2 linked regions of the Arabidopsis thaliana genome follow. The protein of the gene in region 2 interacts with the protein of the main gene of each other region in a pairwise test. Each region holds a gene or a part of one and is shown on either strand. Other genes may lie near its edges. The genes, in order: AT2G45820 and MOS6.

The links.
Region 1: the proteins of MOS6 (region 2) and AT2G45820 interact in binary tests that used the Arabidopsis thaliana proteins (3 or more experiments, as listed by UniProt).

What each region holds. Positions count from the first base shown.
Region 1 is NC_003071.7:18,862,431-18,866,661, forward strand, and holds AT2G45820 (Remorin family protein), read right to left. Parts: upstream 2,312-4,231; 5' UTR 2,147-2,311; coding exon 1,993-2,146; intron 1,303-1,992; coding exon 1,249-1,302; intron 1,154-1,248; coding exon 1,066-1,153; intron 994-1,065; coding exon 717-993; 3' UTR 523-716; downstream 1-522. Other genes in the region: DTA2 (downstream target of AGL15 2), read left to right, coding at 3,894-4,073, 4,177-4,231. UniProt on the Arabidopsis thaliana protein: Exhibits a non sequence-specific DNA-binding activity.
Region 2 is NC_003075.7:949,804-955,302, forward strand, and holds MOS6 (ARM repeat superfamily protein), read right to left. Parts: upstream 3,888-5,499; 5' UTR 3,800-3,887; coding exon 3,584-3,799; intron 3,212-3,583; coding exon 3,112-3,211; intron 3,022-3,111; coding exon 2,930-3,021; intron 2,827-2,929; coding exon 2,695-2,826; intron 2,569-2,694; coding exon 2,383-2,568; intron 2,293-2,382; coding exon 2,129-2,292; intron 2,042-2,128; coding exon 1,963-2,041; intron 1,889-1,962; coding exon 1,760-1,888; intron 1,670-1,759; coding exon 1,542-1,669; coding exon of another isoform or gene 1,538-1,541; exon of another isoform or gene 1,451-1,537; coding exon 1,081-1,450; 3' UTR 743-1,080; downstream 1-742. Other genes in the region: AT4G02140 (uncharacterized protein), read right to left, coding at 7-189, 282-437; AT4G02160 (cotton fiber protein), read right to left, coding at 5,298-5,499. UniProt on the Arabidopsis thaliana protein: Binds to conventional NLS motifs and mediates nuclear protein import across the nuclear envelope. Acts as a cellular receptor for the nuclear import of the virD2 protein of Agrobacterium, but is not essential for Agrobacterium-mediated root transformation.

The sequences.
Region 1 (4,231 bases), on a different chromosome or scaffold from region 2:
AAATTTCCATTGATTTTGGTTTGCGGTTATTTAGGTGTAGTGAGGAGGCAAATCATTCAGCTTTGGCAGCCACTAGCTCGTTCTAGAGATGAAGGCAACACATAGAGTACTGTACTGAGGCAAGAAGAGACAGTATAGGTGGTTGATGGCGATGGAAGCGGTTGATTGTGTCTAAACCTTTAAAGCAGTACCGGCTTGATTTGGTTTGAATTGAAGACTTCTTCTGCTGCATGATATGAACCTTAAAGTTGTCTTCTCTCATCTCTAATTTTCATGTTCTTAGAAACCTTTTCACCTTTTCATTTTGATGTTCTCTCATCTTGAAGACTTGAGAGGAATTTCCGAGTAGTGAGATCAAACCGAAGAAGACATTTTAACTTCATTCGCTTGTTTATTGCTTTTAGATCTCCACCTGTGCCTGAACTGTTTAAGGATTATAGTTGGTGTGTGTCAAGTCAAGTGTCTTAGCATTTTAAGAGTTACAGATCAGATGTGAAGTCGTACAACTGAAACAAAAGGCAAAACAAGATTTGATGCTTCATACAATTATACTCCATTAATCTTTCACTTTTACACACAATCACCCAATATGTAAACAAGACACAAACGACCAAACAAATAACAAAAACTAAAAAGAGTTGTTGAATCACACAAAAACAAAAGAAGAAGAAAGAAACAGAGATGAATTGTTACAAAGATACAAATTCAATAAAGGCTTAGAAACATCCACACGTTGCCTTTGGTACTACACCAGTGGCTCTATACTTAGCACCCATTTCTTCAGCTTTGAGAAGCTCTTCTCCTTTTTTAGCTTCAACCATTGCTCTCTTCTCTTCTGCTAACTTGTGGATTGCAGCTACTTTGTTCTTCATTTTCTCACCGTACTGCGCTTTTTTCTTCTCTAATTTTTCCTCGATCTTCCTAAGTTGAGCTTCTACGGCTGCTTTCTTGCTATTTTCCCAAGCATGCACATCAGAGATCTTCTTTTGTGCCCTGTCCATTTCAAGATCATCAGAGATCTGTAAGCAATAGTAATCTTTGGGTGAGAAGATGATGAAAGTTTACCTGTTCTCAGCCTTTGACTTCTCACTCTCTTCCCATGCTTTGATGAATGACGTTTTCTTCTCTTTTTCCAAGTCGGCAAGTATCACATCTGACCAAACACACACAACACACATTTGAAGTAAATTACTGAACTAAGTAACTAAGAAACTGGACATGAGAAACAAAGTGTTGTTATCAGCTGACCTCTATCGGCCGAACCAGATGAAGCTTTCTTAGGTGTATGCTCCTCGATGGGTTCTGCAAGAAGCACACTTATAAGTATAACACATGGATATTTGTTGCAAGAAGCTCACTTTTAACTAAGTTAAATTTTGTTGCTCTAATTGGCTAATAAGGTCATCAAAATAGTAGTTTATAAAACGAAACTCCACACAGAAGGAATTACAGATAGTAAATAAAGATGAACAAATGAATGTTCAAGGATTATAAAAACTGCTGGAAAGTTAGTACTTAATTGTTATTTTCCAAGAGTTAAGCAACTTTAAAGGAAGGAAAAAATGTAGGAATATTAAGAAAGTAACCCACTTTCCTTAATTCATAGCTGTCCACAACTAATTTGTCATGATTCCATACACTTTTTGATAACACTAATTACAGGGAACATTGCTTTACTATTAATCATATTTTAATAATATCATCCTCGAAAAACATAATTCTCTTGAAAATGCCATGATGAAGTTGTAAATTCTAACAGCGATGGATTTCACCTAAACAAATAGAGTATAGACCAAGTCATATGCAAAAGAACTCACAAAAACCTTAGGCATCTTAAGAAAATCCATTTGTTAATTGTAAATTGAAACCTTAGTTCCAAACGTAAGAATTCTGAATTACATACTATAATAATTCATCGTAAACATGAATGAATCCTCCTAAGTAGAAGATTAACATATATAAAACACACACGTATGTAAATAGAAAGCTTACTTTCTACAACGGCAAGAGCTTTGGACTCGACGGGAGGTGGATTATGAATTTTCTCATCCGCGACTTCCACCGGAGCAGGAGTCGGTTCCTTCGCCGGAGCTAAAACAGCCGGAGATTCTACGTCAACCTTACTCGTCTTTTGCTCCTCCGCCATTGTCTCTCAGCCGAAGAAGAAGAACAGATTTTATGTTTTTTCCGTGAAAATGGATAAAATTGAGATTTTAGGACAATAATGAGTTAAAGAGTTTTTATATCCTCCGTTAGCTTATACCGGTGGAGCGTACTACGCGCGTTTAATAAGTGTGAGACTCTTGTTTTGCTTCGCCGTTGATTTTTGTACCCATGTGATCGTGCGGCTGTAAAGCTCTCATACGCATTGGATGCGTTACACGTGATTAAACACACCTCACTGCCGACAAGTAAAGTGGTTCAATGATGCCACGTCACCTCTGTAGAAAATTTGTCCTCCCCTTCTTTTTTCCTGATATTCAACAAAACTTAATTCTTCCAATTATACCGAACTAAAATTTTGTTTACCATATAAATTGGTTTAAAATTGAAAATCAGATTTTAGCTGGGATTTTTTTATTATGAGAAAAACAACAATCAAACTACAATCAAGAAAATAAATGATCTATATTATTGCTAATCTTGGCTTAACTAAAAAGTTCGTATTAAAAAACTGAATCTAAATTTGGAGTGAGCTCGTATGCCTATAGAATTGACAGAGTGTCGGGTGTGTATTAAATCTATAATAAAATATCAATCACTCGAATTCATTTAAACAATTATTTTAGTTTTAAAATTTAAGTGGATCAAAGGGTGACGTGGAGCCTCACTGACTCGACACGCTGGAAGACAGATACAAAAAGGATAATGTCTGTGTCTCGCGCGTGTACAAAACTTTCCGGTTATGTGGCGCGTGGTATATGCAATTTAAACTGGTTTAAGCATGTGGTATATGGACTATGAGATGGAGACATCTCTTTTTGTAGGTGTTGGGCTTTTGTGAATCCTAATGGCCCAACGGGTTTTTAAATTTCCTGCCCAACTTGTTTTAATTTAAAGAAAGGTGTAATTTTTTTTCTAACAAAGCAATAAAGTAAATTAATTAAGGCTAATCACTAATCACAGACTCACAGTTTCGAACAGCCTGTGAAAGATGTATTAATGTATTTGTATAATAATAAAAAGTACTCTACAACATGGAATTATTTACGATTAATTATCTGTCTTGTATGATGATGAGTGGTCGAATATGGACTATGATGTCACTGACCTTTATTTAATGGGTTAAGGTTTATCTTCTTTCTTCTTTCTTCGAAGTTCGGATTCTTTTATTCAGTTTAAAGCACTTATAACAAACTTTCCCAAAGAGGACTTTAATTAATTGAACTCTTGCAGTTTTATTTTTGTAGTAAGCAGATTATTTTTCTAAGAACATCAAAGGTCTTGTATTTAGTTATTTACCAATAAATACAACGTTAATAAGAGACGATTATTTGGGAAACATTTGTGTATCACATATCAATGTCCATATGTGATTTGAGCATAGGAATACCAAATATGGATGACCAAATGTCTCCTACTAATTAATAAAATATTATCTATTTAATATTTAAAAACATTTTAACTCTTCGAAAAACTAAAAAGTAAACAAGATTCACACAAAAATATGAACGTCATTAACACAAAAGATGTGAACTCTGGTTAGTGTTGAAGATAACGTGAAACAAGATTCAAATCCTCGTGGAAGAGCACCAATCGATCACCAGAATCAAACCTTTGAGCTTCCTCCTAGCTTCGGTAACGTTTAATCTCACCTGATTCTCGTTTTTCTTCTCTTCCTGTTGAATGTTTGTGAACATAGATATATATAAAGCTGAGATAGATATAGATTCATGCTTCAACGGAAAAGCATGAAGAGGAACAACAACAATCTTCTAACGAACAAGAATAAGTATGTCTATCTTAAAACGGCGTCGCATCCAGCAAAAAGCATCGCTAAAGCTACTCTGTTCCTCGTCACCTCTCTCTTCATATCTGCTGGTCTCTTAGACTTATTGGGTTGTTTCGATTTCGTGAGTTCGAATCTGAAGTAACTTCTTTTTTAGAAACTTTTTATTCAATCAAGTGAATCTTGAACTTGAAGAGTTAATAAATTCATATCTCTCTGTACTTCAGACAACTTTTACAGGTCTGAAGCAGGTAACAACTAGTATCAGAAAATCACCAATCA
Region 2 (5,499 bases):
CTGCTATTAATTTCGTTTCTGTTGGAAATTGAGATCTGCAGGTAGACCAACGGGAGTAGATTCAAGCTTGTGTGAAGTATCTCTGGGATTTTTTGGCGGAGAAAGCGGTTCCTTTACAAAACCGGGTGGTCGAATATCCGGTACATCCTCATCCGCTGGAGTCTTCGGGTTCGCTACATCATCCAAACCCTACATCAACAATAACAACATATCACAAACAATTTAGTTGTGACTTGTGACAGCTAAGCTTGACATATATAAACAACAAAGTCAAAATATACCTCGGGGTCTGATGGAAAAAGACTAGGCTCGTCTCCATCGTTACGGGCATGAATCTCTGGATCAGCGGTTCGACCAGTAGAAGAAGATAGTCTCTTCGCATGAAGACGACGACCGAGAGTAGAACGTGCTGCAGCAAAAGCTGGTGAAGACAGCATTATATCTGGCTATGTTGTTGTTCTTGTTGTCTGTTGGATATAAAACAATGAGAGTGTTTTAAATACACGAATTAGTCACATAGCCTAAACCCTAATTTCTCGCATATAGAAATTATGACCATGATAATAACCACTTAATCACCACTAATCTCTCCTATTTGTAATTAGACACCAAAGTACCCAATAAAAACTCCACATGCGTATATTGCTCTTGAAGTTTTGACCGTTGCCTCAAACCTCCACAAGCGTATATTACTATTTCTAGCTTCTCTGTTTTCTAAAATTGCGAGTAAAAATGATTAACTATTGAATAAAAATGTTTCTGGTTTAGTTAAGGCATAACTACGATTTTGTAATGGCACTAATATATGAAAAAAGGGAACTTTGTTGAAAGACGAGATGATGGCTAACACAGAATAATTGTTTCTCTTCCCCAAATGATTTAGTTATTGAGACAAACTTCCAAAAAGAAAAGAAAATCGTACTATGTTTCTTCATAGTTCATGTCCACGAGTTAAGGAGTGGGCATGAAGAGATAGAGAAGATTGATATTTCATCTTTGTGATGTTACCACTTTCGTTCGATATGTGGCTTACTTAAAAGTCCAAGCAACTTCTATGACCCAATTCAACTATTTTACCTTTCAAATAAAGTTGAATTGACCAGGAGGAACATTGGTGCTTCCGAACTGGAAACCAGATTGTGGAGCATGATTCTCGTCGTTGCCTTCTTCTTCATTGTCTTCAGTCCAAAATGTTTCGAGGATCTTCACGGCTTTGTCGTAGATATCATTGTTGTCGTGACTCTGAAGATTCTCAATCTTCTCTAACCCTTCTGCTTCGTCAATCATTTGAGCGTAGAGGTTGTCTTCTCCTGTGTGACCTAAGTTCTTCTCTGCTTCTCCAACCACGAGAATGTTCTCTAGTGCTTCTAAGCAAACCGTTACAACTTTCAGATCTGGGCAAGTAAGGAGATCGCATAGAGGTTTGATACAGCCTTGGCTCACCATAAACCTGAGAAGAAACAAACAATAAACACAGACGTGTTTTAGAAATGACCATTCTTTGTTAAGGAAACATTTCGTTTCGGTTTTTATGGTTTTACTTGATTTGATCATGAGTGCCACCAGAAGTAGCATTTGATATTCCCCAAGCAGCTTCTTTTTTTACTTCGAACTCTGCACTTTGAAGCACCCAAACAAGAGACTGGATTATACCTGCATCAATCACTGCCTGCACATACGGGTTCGAATAAAATCAGACACAGGAAACTTCAATTTTCGACTTTCTTGTTAAATGCCATATATTATAAACAAAACTCACTTGTATCTGATCTGCATTTCCAGCTGTAATGTTGGAGATAGTCCAGCAAGCTTCCTTCTTGATACTCTTCTTGTAATTGTTTTTTAGAAGGTTCAAAAGACAAGGAAGCGCTTGCTGGTCGAGAACCATCTGTGTTAGGAAAATAAGTTAGAGACATTTGCTTCTGAAAACTCGAAATCGAATGGTGAATGTATTATATGCACCTGAGTCTGTAGATCATCCCCGGTTACAATATTTCCAATGGTACGAAGAGCAGGAATCAGCACTGATGGCGACGAATGACTATACGGAGAAAGAGGAAGCACATAAATCAGATAACATAATCATGCCTGGCAATAAAAATTAAAATGATCACTATCAGATGCTTACCCTAAGAGCTGGATGAGGCGAGGAACAACTCCTGCTTCAATGACTGCTTGTATTTTGTCGTTTGAATTATCCGAGAGGTATGACAGAGCCCAGCATGCATCTGTGAGAACTTCTTCATCCATTGATTGCACAAGGCGCTCAAGAACTGGTAAAGCTGGTTGTGTCTGCTCGAAAAATGTTTTAAGTAACAAAATATCAGAAGCATGTTAAAAAATATTGTGGAGATTCAATAAAGTGTGTATATTTAAGGAAACCTGTTCAAATGCGGGTGGGGGCTTCCCTCTGCAGAAGTTTGATAATGTCCATGTAGCATTTCTCAGCATTGAAAGCTTTGTATTCTCATTGAATTGAGACAGAAGAGGTGTCATGGCACCGTAACTTAGGACTAAATCCCGGCATTTTGGTGAGTCTCCAGCAACATTTCCCAATGCCCAAACAGCCTATACTCAGTCAGGGAAAGACCAGAACTCAGAATGGTAACAGTCTCAATGAATTTCCACTTGATCCTAATGTCTAAGTGTTTCTTCTGTGACAATAACGATAACAGTGAGGATTTAAACATATACCTGTTCGCGGACATCTTCACTAGCAGAGCTGAGAAGTTGGATGAATATCGGGACAGCTCCACTTTCAATGATGACATTTGTGTTCTCTGATGTCCCTGAAGCAATGTTGGTGAGCGCCCAAGCTGCCTCAAACTAAAACACATTGCAGAAGTAAACAGCAAAAGCAAGTTAACAAATACATCAAACTAGTAACTATCAATATATCCAAAAAAAAACGACTGCAGCTGCGACTCACCTGAAGTTTGGGGAAGTCATCCCTGGAAAGAAACTTCACAACACGAGGAACAACACCAGATTGTACAACTTCATTGATAGGAGGATTTTGTTCTACAAAAGAAAAAACAACTGCTAAAGACTCTAACCAAAACACTGATTGTTATGTACTACTAGTAACGATCAATAACATAAATCACAAACCAATAGAAAGCAGTTTCCGCAAGAGATTTGTTGCCTCCAATTGTGAATTGCTATCCTCTGACCAGATTCCAGCAACCATAGCAGGTAGATTATCTTTTAACTGTAACACGAAGAGACACTATCATAGTCAAAAATCTCCTCTAGCTAAAGTAAATTTGATGATCTCCGTTGAGATATCAACCCTAATTCTCTTTACATGTCAAATTCAACACCGCTCAAATTCCCAGTCAATTAAACAGACATTAGTAACAAATACTCTCACCAAACAACACATACACATCGCAAGTTTTTGCAATCAAATACAAAATCTATGACCAAAAACAAAGAAACATCGCAAGAACTTCAAATCTAGAACAAATCGATCTCCAATTAGAAATTCATATGAAACAGAGACGATCTAATTGATCAAATCGGAACATAAAATCAGAAAAAACTAAAGGTGGAATCGTAAACAAAAGAAAGAATCACATACTTGGTTCGCTGAAGAAAGATCCTGTTCCGTTTGTCCCGTTGCTGAGCCAAAAGCCATAGAAGACGTAAATCTCTTCTTCTGCAAATTTTCCTCTCTCTTGTTCTTCCTGATCTCAACCAAGTTATCCTCTCGCCTCCGCCGTCCTTCCTCCGCATCGACCGCTACTTTGTACCGATTCCGTCGCACCTCCGTCTTCGCGCTAGGTCTGAGAGACATCGCCGCTAAAATCGAATCGAAATCGGAAGAGAATTAACGATCGGAAGATTATTTAAACACGCCAAGTTCGATTAATGAGAGAGTGATAAGGGTTTTGGAGTTTGATGCGAGTGTATTTATACAAGAGCGTGTACTTAGGAGGCCACGATTCAGGAGACTTGTTGTTAATCCAATATTGCCCCTAAGTTTTATCATTAATAACGAACCTGCCACTCATATTTTTTTTCTTTTTTGAAATTTGAATCTTAACGTCTCTCTGCCTTTTTAGGTATGTATACACCGACTACTAATTATGGATTTGTTTTCCTTTATTTTCTCCACGCAAATATTCTTTTCTTTTTCTGCAGCAGCAATACTCTAATTTGAAGAGGCTTTTTAAAGCCCAAATAAATTATTACATAGGCCAAACTTGGCTAAAACAACGTAATTTACAAGACTGTACTCTAATTAAAAGGGGTAAAAAGATCAATGTGAGCAACTGAGCATTATGAGAACTTTACTAATTAGATGCTTTACTATTCAATGCATCTTGGAAAGACGAGAACAACCATATTGCTTGAATTCCTTTCAAATGAGAGAACAACTAAATTGATTTCTTTCTATTTGTGCCATCTTATAAACTTGAGTGAACGACCTCTATTCCCCTACGCAGTTTCACATAGTACCACAACTACACAGATTTAGAACTTCGTTTACAGTCAACACAAAATAGAAGGTAAATTATTATATCCTCCTAAATCGAAAGTTAGAGAATTTAGTCTCCACAAAACCAAATTTTGTAGTTTATTATTAGGTTAACGTCATAAACCTAATGCCAAACCAAAAATCTAGTATAATAAACCGAATTGCAACCGATTCAATTTACTCTCCACATCATAAACTTCTAATCTCTCTTCTTTAGCTTCCATGTCTCTGATTTTCTCTTCAAGCAAATTGGATTCTCAAACCAATAGGAAAATTCTAAATTATATTGGATTGTACCCATAAGTGAATTATAAACTTCTACTTAACTCATTATTGGGTTTTTGGTTCAAAAGAAAAAAAAGAAAAAAACGAATTGCTTGAAATATGACAACAACAAAGGCTTGTAGCTCAGAGTCATGTATATGACACCCTAGGAAAACTGCCAAAGAAGCTCAGAGTCATGTATATAATTTGCGTACAAATTCATCATCTACTATATCACTCACAAGAAGCTAGCTGCAATTTGGTTCTAGCATTATGACTTGAAGATGATATATAGTAAACCAAAATGACATCAGTTTTATAAATATATTTTAATATAGTTTGCGTACAAATTCATCGTCTACTATAAAAGTATACAATCAAGACTAACTGAATACAATATATATATCATTACTTAAATCATCGAAATAATAGACGAAAAAAAAAAATCATCGAAATAATCAAAGACAAACTCTGTGCACGTCTCCATGCATATATGTATACTCATGTAATATGACATTATGCTTCAGTGAATAGAATTACAATGTGCGATTTAGACCATCATCATCTCTTTAGCTTTGTAACGTTCTGTATAAGCCTGATTTTGCATCCTCATCTGTTCATAAAATCTCACAATAAACTCCTCAGCTTTCGCATCAATCATCTCATCACCTCCATCATCATTACCATAATTTTCATCATCATCATCATCTTCATCAAGACAATCCATATCTCGCAACGACTTTGCTGATCCA